2 linked regions of the Arabidopsis thaliana genome follow. The protein of the gene in region 2 interacts with the protein of the main gene of each other region in a pairwise test. Each region holds a gene or a part of one and is shown on either strand. Other genes may lie near its edges.

Region 1 (5,246 bases), on a different chromosome or scaffold from region 2:
TCATCAAGAGGACATCACTAAAAACTAGAATCACGAGGACTTCATTACTACATGCATTATAATCATAGAAAAATTCAGAGAAGCTAAATTAAAACCCTATAAAAAAGGTTAGGTTTTTAAAAGATTCAAAGGACCTACCACTTTTACGTTTCTTCATCACATCCTCTACGTTCTCGTGACTCTCTCTTTCTATCTCTAACCGCCATTAACTATGTCTCCTCTCTATCTCTCTAAATCTTTCTTTTGTACGGATACATACAACGTATATAAAAGTTCTTAAAACATTAAGTAAGCATTTAAAGAAGAAAACAAACAAAATGGTAGGGTCTATTCTTTGCTCTGCCTCTTCCTTCACCATTCTTTTCTCTGTTTTTTCTTAAAAATCTCAATGTTTTTCTTCACTCTTACATCATCAAAGCTCATTTCATCAGCTAATACCAAAGCTATACCTTTAACATAACTGTTTTGTCTGTATATGTGCAAATGTTTTGTCTGTCTTCTTTGAGAAGTTCACTCATGAACAAAGATGAAGACTTTAAAAAAAATTCTTGAGCATAGCTTTAAGATGAAACATAAATGGAAGTTAACATTGCTAATAAAAGGTTGAAGTTATGTATCCAACAACAACAACCTCAAGTTCTCAAAAGCTTAATTTAAAAACAACTCTCATTTGCAATTGCATTACATGCTTAGATTGAAGTTATGACATAAGAAAAAAAGTTGAGAAGAAAATTGCAGATTTAAAGGGACTTAGTTCTTCTAGCTCTGCTTCAACAGATGCTTAATGGACTCGAAGTCAGGATCAGATCAGATCATACCAGCATACCCTGCTGTATCGAAAAGCACTGCTTTGATTTGATCAGGCAGTATCTCTTGTCCTTCTTGGCATTGCTGATAGACAAAAGAAAACATGTTACTACTAAAACTGTTCTACAAATCCTTAACCTTTCAACTGAGAGTAGAAGATCACCTCAGCGCGGAAAACATCCAAGGCAAACCCATTAAAACAGCTGATCACAGCTTGCTGAACATCCAATCCAAGATTATCCAAAGCTTTCATGGTAGCGAGCAACAGACCCGGTCTACGACCACAGAACATATGAATGTTCACTGCTCTTCCTTCCCTTAATCTAACCTCAACCTGTGAAAAAGAAGCAGAGTAATCTCTCAAACATGAATCTTTGTTTTCTTCTTTCCAGTCTAAGCAAAAGTTATACAGAATATAGTCCTTACTCTAGCTTGCTGGCCTTTAGGACTTGGTAAAGAAGAGGGACACAACTCTTCCTTGACACGACAAGAAAGAGTTTGCGGTGTAGGTGTCAACGGATGGAAGCTTGATGAAGTTGGAGGCAAAGATCCAGGAGGAGTTGACTCAAGTTCATTGTGAAGATCATTGATCCTTTGTAGAAGTTCCTTCAGATAATCAATTGCATCTCCAAGTATTGATGCTCTATCCATCTGCAAATTCATCGAAAATCCATAAAACACTATCACGAGCCTCTTCCTCAAAAGAGTAAAGCAACTACATGCAAAGTTTGACAACAACAAAGGCCCTACAAAGCTACAACACAACAATTCTCTATAACAGCAACAAGTAAACAAGCTCTTAAGGAGATAAAAGAGACAAAGTAAGTGTTTACTTTGCTGATCTTGGGGACAACTGATCTAAGCATATAAAGCCTATCATTAAGCTTCTTCCTCCTTCTCCTCTCAGCCATCAGATTCTTAGCAGGCATACCTTTCTTCTTACCCTTTCCTCCTCCTCCAATCTGAACACTCTCAGCCGCTTTACCGCTCTCATTTATCTCATCAGACTCATAGTTCAACCCAGAAACCTCAATCCCAGTCTCATCCATATCTCCATCATCACTAAACCTCCTCATTCCCGAACTCTCCGAATTTCCCATTTTGCTTCCAGAGCTCTGACGCATAGCTGCACGTTTCTGGAACAGAGTAGGCTGTGCACCAGACGATGCTAACACCTCTAAAGGCTTCAGAACTTTCGCTCTGTTCCCAACAAAACCACCATTAGCAGGACTACCAAAACCTTCCAACTCCAACGGAGCTGTGAAACCACCACACAACATTGTGTTGTTGTTGTTGCTTTCCGGCGCAAGAAGTGACCGAGCAGACAAGAAATCAGGAACAGAACTCAAATCCCTGTTCCCCAATTGTGTCAAAGAACCAAACCCCATCGAAATAGGAGCATGGATTTGGTTAAGAAAACCAGATTCAGAGCCAAACTCAAAAGCATTATCAAAAGGGTTTGCAGAAGAAGGAACATTGAGAAGACAACCCTTGTTGTTGTTAGTTGACAAGAACTGATTTTGCTGAGAAGGGTCAAGACTAAAAGCTTGAGAAGGAGAACAAGAAGAAGAAGAATCAATAGAGTGTTGAAGAAGAAGATTATCATTAGGGTTAAAAGGAAAACCACCAAAGTATCTGAAATCTGGCTGATTCTGTAACATCTGAAGATCTTGTGGATGTGGTTGGTTACTACTAAACCAATCACCTTCAAGCATAGGCTTAAACTGAGAAGAACCATCTTCTTGATTCCTTCCCCATGAACCTTCCTCGTTCTCTTCCCTTTCTCCACCACCACCGTTTAACCAAACCCCTCCACCATTGTTTCCGTCAAGACCCATCGCCAAAGTTGACACCTTTACCCCAAAGTCTGAACCTTTAGAGGAAAATTCTGCAAAGTTGAGACCTTTAACTGAAATTTGGAAGCTTGAAGACAATTCTGCAAAAGTTTGAAAACAAAAGATATATACTTTGAATATTCAGAGACTTGGAAAAGTAAAAAAAGAGAAGCATTAAAGTAGAATCACGAGGATTTCATGAATTGAAGAAGCGAAATCTGAAAAGGAAGATAGAGATAGAGAGAGAGAATGATAGATTCATTTCTCAGAGCTTTCAAAAATTGAAACTTTTTTTTTGATGGATTCAATTTCGGCCACCATGAAATTGCTTTATCATTGAACACATACCCCAGATTTCTCGTGACTCTCTTTGCTTTGCTTCGTTTACCGTATCTCTCTCTCTCTCACCGTCACTATTTCTCCATTTTTCTGCTTAATTTTGGCTTAAGCTTATCTCTCTGTCTCTGTTGTCACTGTCTCTGTCTTTATATAGACAGTGTTTAAGTAAGTTAATGATGATGATGATAATTTCAAAGTGTAATTAGCATCATTCATGCAACGCGTGTCTTCCATGCATTTCTTTAACTCATATTATTACCTAATTATTGTTATGTACTTAAAAGTTCTTTTTCAAAAGATGGTAATAAAATTTATTTTATATTCTTACTATTAAATATATTTCCTTTTATTTTTTGTATTTTTTTAAAAAATTATAAATAATTATGTTGTAACGCATATCTCGACTTTACCGGCGTCGACATCTTTTCGATGGTTCCTAAGCTTCTTGAACAAAGCCACATCAAGCTCAAGTTTGTAAGTAAATAGTTTAATTTCATAAGTCTTTTAAACATTAATTAAGTAAGGACGAGTAATTCCAAATTTTCTGATGATTGTAGCGTTTATCACCATTATCAACTAAATTGAGTTCCCAAAAAAATATAGTTGTGTTGCGATATGCTTTCTAGTCTTCTAGAGGAAGTAATTAGGGATTCATTTTCTAAAAAGTTTTGTTAGTTTCAATTGTGGCTTTGTGCCTTAAATTGGCTTTTTGCTTATATAGTTTTGGTTTATGCTTTATTATTAGAGAATTTGTTTTTCTACCGGCTAAGATTCCGGAGATTTAAACGTGTTCTCCGGCTATCTATCTTAGTTTCCTTCATTTAAAGGTTTTAATAAACATTGAATTTTTTTTTTTTTATGGGCTGTTTGTTGCAGTCCACCCATACTATATGGGTTCAATTAGGATCACTATGTAGTAGACCTCAGCCCAATTCATTATGTATTTTTTATCTTCTTTCTAATTTCATACAAACTATAAAATTCTACCTAAATAACCAATTTCCATTTATTTCTGTAGTTGTAATTTATAATCAATAATTCGCGTTTATTGTTTCGAAATTTGAGTAAATCTGAATTTAAGACTCGGTCAAACTTTTTAAGACTCGGCCAAGCTTTCAAAGTGTTTTTGACATGTTGTTGGGAAGGTTTTAAACTCGGATTTACTCTAATCGCGAAATAGTAAACATGAATTATTGATTTTAAATTGTAATTACATATAATAATTGAATTTGGTAAATTGGGTAGAATGTGGAATTAGATAGAACAAAAAGAGCAGAAGGTGAATTGGATAGAGGTCAAAAATATTGGTAATCCTAGTTAAACGCATATAATACATGTGGATTGGTACAAACAGCCATTTTTTATTTATGCATCAAGTACGGTAGTGCATTTTATCCGTTTCATGAATATTGATTTTGCAAATTTTCATTTCACACAGATTAAAAATTTATACTGCATTTTCTTTCTTTCTATCTACTTCTTTTTATTTACTGTAGCTATACATGATTTGATTTTCAATAATAAACACTTCCCAAGAATTATAATTCAATATTAGTTTTACTTTATTTTAAAGCTACTATAATACACATAGGAATCTTGAAGATTGATCTTTGATGAAATGGATGACGTATCTATTTCACCAGTTTCAATATATTGTTTCTTTGCAAATATATGAAAATAGTCTCTTTGTTTTCAATAAATCCAGCATGGCTTGAACAAAATAAACTTACTCATTAGAAATTTTTTAAAGATGAATATGAACAACTTAAAGCTTATTTTTAACTCCATCAAATTAAATGGTAATGGTTAGTGTGCAAGGAAAACTTATTTCCAAGTAGTCGATATATCCTTCATTTGGTAGCAATTTGGTGAATGTGCTGAATCAACTAGCAACTCAATGTTCTTCAAAATTTGGGGTAGAATCTTCGGAGTGCTCTTCAACTTCGATTTGAGAAATCATTATTATTTTTTGTTTCGATCCATTACAATCACCGCAATGTTAAGTTTATTAAAACTGAGATCACTAGGTAGAAAAGTAGAACCACTTAATTTGCTTTTCATATATAAGTTCAAATTTAAAGAAATTATTTTTTTGGTTTTCCCTAAGGTTTGGGGTTGAAAATTTTGAAAGAAAGTAATAGAGTTCGATATATGTATATTAATTTCTTTCCAGTTTTGATGTTTAAAGAAAAACTATGTAATTCGAAAAACAAAATCTACTTAACGATGTTATTGACGGTGGTCCGGTTGTCTTTAGTTCGACTA
Region 2 (4,736 bases):
AAATTGGGTTAATTAGAAGAACTGTTTCACGTACGCTATGTTTCACACATCAACCTTAAACTAATGGTGATGGTGTTCGATTCTTTGTTTTACTCATTAACCACACATAAAAAAAGTTTCATACATCAAAAGGAAAAAAAAAAAAAGATATATGAAAATATACACCAAGTCTCACGGCAAGACCAAGACATTTGGCTTCCGAAATTCGAAAAGAGTTTGGGTCCGTTCACGCATTATCGATCAAGAGTCTAGTTACAGAGTGAAGCTTGGTCTTTAATTATGTTTATGTCTGATCAATCCTTGTCTTGCATCTAATTAACACCTGTATAACCTAGTAACACATATATTTATATCAAATCAAAAAGAACAAAAAAACTTTGAAGCAATAATAAGAGGACTCGGCTATGAAGAATGAAAAAGGAAGCGGAGACTTTGATGAACATTTGATGGTGCATATATACATATTAATTCTCTTGTGGTTAGGGAATCCTGACACTAAGCTAAGTGCGCATGTAGATAGATGAAAGAACCATCAACCATGCATGAAGTCCATCCTTTGCATCATTGGTTTTTTTTTTTTTTTATAAAACAAATCATTGGTTGTTTCAACCGTCAATTTTTGCTTTTGTGTTTACATCAATTTTTTTTTATGTCTTTTCAATTCTGTTTGCTTTCATGATATAAAGCAAACAAACAATTGAAGTCATCATATTCAAAAACGAAACTATTCAGTGGCAAATATTTGATTTACCATTAACTTCTCATAGAGAAAAAGACTTCTGAAAATCATGCATATTCAACAAACATAACAATTAACACAAGTTGAATTACAATTCAATTTAAAACAAATGGGTTATTACAATTTTGTTCACCACGATACAACAAATTAATAATATTATATTTAAAAGAATTACAAATATATGGTTTAACAACCAACGTGGTCACGCCAGTCCAAGAACAAGAGAGCAGCTGCATAGTGAGACAAAGCACCCAACAAAACGAACACATGGAAGATCTGATGACTATGTCCCACACGATCAAACCATCCCGGTTTAAGCCTTTCTGGCACTCTCCCTACGTAGAATCCTGTTCCAACAAGATAGAACACTGCCATAAGCAACTCGTACACGAGCGTCACGTTCCTTTGCGGGTTTCCCCAATTGACCACTAGCGCGTGGGCAGCTGGGACAATCCCAAACAGCCCCATGGAGGCAAAGAGCAAAGCGCGGAAAGCTCGGTACTTGGGAGCGGAAAGTGATGGGGTGAAAAGTGTGATGATTGTGAAGATTCCCATGGATGTGATGCCTGCGAGGTAGATGAAGTACCACCGAGGAGTGCACTGGAAGATGTAGAAGATTGGTGGGAAGAAGGAAGTGATGATCATGGCGGTGATACCGGCATAGTCTATTCGGAGAAGGAAGACATTAAGCTCTTTTGAGTGGCAACAGAAGAGGTGACAAATGCTGCTTGCGAGTAGGCAGAACATTGAGCCTCCTAAGAAAACGAAGAAGGGCCATCTTGTTACATTCCCTGGACTCTTTGCATCCTACAATCATCAACATTGATACCACCATTAGCTTTACATTTTTATTGACTAGTTTGAGATACTAAAAAAACATATACTAGATATATGATCAAATAACATATTTGAGTTGATTTCTAATCTAGTTAAGAAATACATTTTCTTCAGTTGTTTAGATATGTGATTAAATAATAGATTTGAGCTGATATATAATCCTTAAAAGAATTACATTTTATTGAGTTGTTTAGAATATACTACAGAAAACAAATTATAGTCAATGTAATATTGTCAAAGATTTTATTCATCATTTCGATTCATGTCTATATATCTTTGATATCTTATTCAAAATCATCATAACAAAATCCAGGTATAGCAACGAACAATTCATTAGAAAATTAAGATAAGTTAATCAAAACCAATTAGGTATATATCTAATTACTTGACACATTCACTTGACTAATTTGAAGTTAATATAGTGGTTGCATGTGGATCTCGAGGGAATAAATTGAAATTCGGGCTAAACTTGCGATTATTAAACAAAAACAAAAATAAACGTGTTGATTAAAGGACACTTACCACGGGGAAGAATCCGTCGTGATGAATAATATTGGCGACGGTTAGTGCCACAAAGAAGATAAAACCAATCAAATGTCTGTCCAAAAAAAAAAAACTATTAGAAAAAAAAATCGAAGAAAAAATAATTGAAACTAGAAGTAAAATTTGGTGTACTTACGTCCAAACATTGAGGGACTCATTGTGGAAACTAAATACGCTGAAGAAAGCATCTCTAATGGACCAATCAGCTCTGTAATAATTCAATATGTATTCGTTGTCTTTCATGTACTCCGGTAGCTCACAATACGACATTAATTCACGTCGTTTCATTGTCTTTTGTTGCGTTTTTCTCTTCTTCCTTCTCTTGGTACCACTACTCTCATCTCCACCGTGATCATCTCCAGGCACGATCTTGCTTTTGCAGTTGCCGTTGCCGCATGAAACTGTTTCTGCTTCGTCGTTATGACCATTTTGGTCCATAAGAGCTCTCGAGTATCGATTCTTGAGACAAGAATACTCAATCTTGATCTCAAGAGAAGATGGTGAGAGAGAAGATCTGAGAGGAGAGGAAAATATATAATGAAGAAAGATTATTATTATTATTATAGTTGAAGTAACAAGTATTAAAATGTGAATTTAAGTTTGAGGGGAGAGAGAGAGAGAGAAGAAACAAGGAAGATGTGAAATGTAAGGAGACAGCTGCAACATTTAAAGACGAAACTTTAGTATGCAGGTAGAAGTTGGTGTCGTGTTTTCATCTTTTAGTTGTTAGTTAGGTTATCAATAAATTCTTCTTTTTTGATTATTATTATTTCATTTCCCTTTCTCTTACGTTTGTTTTTATTGTATTTTTTTTTAACAAGAAAAGTGATTCAGTTTTACACTACTTTTTGAGATATGGAAAATCTTTTGAATACGAGAAGAGTAAATTTAGGCGATTTTAAGACCGACCGACTCAAAATTCACTACCGGCTTGTACCTCTTTTACATGATTGATGCCTTGTACCCACCGGATCGTTTGTATTTATAAGAAAGATATAAGATATGTGATGCAAACAAAATAGTACTCTTGATGTAAAAATAAAAAATAAGGACTCATTTAGACTTTTACTATGCTTCAATCAACATTAAATTCTGTGTGAAATTAAGATTGGTGAGGGGTTTACTTTACTTGAAATAGACGAGTAATTTTAGAAAATTTGCATTTTTGAGTTCTTATGTGTAATTCTAAGTAATTTTTTTAACAGAAGAAGTTAGGATAACAACAGAATTTAATGTAGTTATGAGTTATGAAGTGATTGTGGTAAAGAAGTGTCAAAGCTCTTTCCATCAAGTGGATGACAACAAAAATAATGATACTAAAAACAAGCATGCAAACATTTCAAGGATTCCTTTTTTTAAAAGAGTAGACCACAAAAGCCAAAATCATGAAAATTTCTATTTTTTTCTTGTGAAATGTTGCAAAAAACATTAGTGTCATTTTCAATGAGTTACCACTTGAAAAGGACTTGACCTTTAAATGCCTCTAGCAATATAGAACTTCAAGTTAATTAATTAGGCAGATGACTAAACTTTAGAACAAATTTATAATTTATTTGGAAATCAACTAAAAAAGGATGTTAAAAATTAGACGAAAATATCTTCATACAAGGAATTATAAACGTTTTGTTGGCAAAAAAAAAGGGAATTATAAACGTTTGTGACATGCATTCATGTAATACATGTTATTATGCTGTTATTATGAAGGAGTTAGTGAGTAAAGATCTTGACGCCACTACAAGGTTTGTACTTCGGTATGTGTTTCAAAACACGATACATTCTATATGGAGAGAAAGAAATGAGAGGAGATATGGACAGACGCCATCGAGGACGAAGAAGATAATCAGGCTGATAGACAAAAACATAAGGAATGGATTAAGCACGTTGAGGGTAAGATGTGAAGAGAAGTACGCAAGAGGAATCCAAGTGTGGTTTACTTTTAGGCAAGAACAAAATCAAAGATAAATAAGATATACTTTTGATCTATTTTTAAGAAAAGTTTGCATTTCTGTATATAAACAGTTTATTTTTCTTTGAATATAATTTAACACTAAATTCAAAAAAAAAAATATGTTGTTATTATGTAGATAGTAATTAACATCTCGGCGTCCCATAGCCATACCTTTATTTTTTCTCTTACAAAATTCAGTTTTGTTATCTAAAATTAAAGCTGATAAAATGGCCATAGTTGTAGCTTTCTGGTCTTTCAAGATTTGGGTTGGCTTAGGCTTTTTGGGAAAACATTAACCAAAGAGGTCACTCCTGAAACACCCCCAAGGAATCGCAATCATATACGCAAACTCCATATACGTGTGTTTAAGTTTCTTGGGAAAATAGTTTATTACTAATTCATAACTTAAGATTTTGTTAAATATGGTTGAAGAAGAAAATGACTTTATCTTCTCGACATCTTTTGTAATCTTTACTTTTGGATATAACTGCCATGTGTTTGCAATCTATTTAGCCTTAATTATATATTTTGTCGCCTAGGCCTAATTAAAATCAAAAGGAATGGTTTTATTTATATGAATGTTGTTCTGTTAATTAAAATACCGGGAATATCCTCTTTTTCTTTTTATTATTACAATACTTTGCATAAATGAAGTAAAATCCGGTAGGT

Evidence for each region.
Region 1: the proteins of HHP1 (region 2) and ICE1 interact in a two-hybrid assay, tested with the Arabidopsis thaliana proteins (one study listed by BioGRID).

Annotation. Positions count from the first base shown.
Region 1 is NC_003074.8:9,832,146-9,837,391, forward strand, and holds ICE1 (basic helix-loop-helix (bHLH) DNA-binding superfamily protein), read right to left. Parts: upstream 3,128-5,246; 5' UTR 2,991-3,127; exon of another isoform or gene 2,744-2,990; 5' UTR 2,646-2,743; coding exon 1,641-2,645; coding exon of another isoform or gene 1,554-1,640; exon of another isoform or gene 1,459-1,553; coding exon 1,234-1,458; intron 1,142-1,233; coding exon 971-1,141; coding exon of another isoform or gene 941-970; exon of another isoform or gene 892-940; coding exon 808-891; 3' UTR 522-807; downstream 1-521.
Region 2 is NC_003076.8:6,840,100-6,844,835, forward strand, and holds HHP1 (heptahelical transmembrane protein1), read right to left. Parts: upstream 2,848-4,736; 5' UTR 2,558-2,847; coding exon 2,256-2,557; intron 2,175-2,255; coding exon 2,099-2,174; intron 1,547-2,098; coding exon 926-1,546; 3' UTR 734-925; downstream 1-733. UniProt on the Arabidopsis thaliana protein: May act as a negative regulator of abscisic acid (ABA)-mediated osmotic stress signaling and function in cross-talk between cold and osmotic signaling.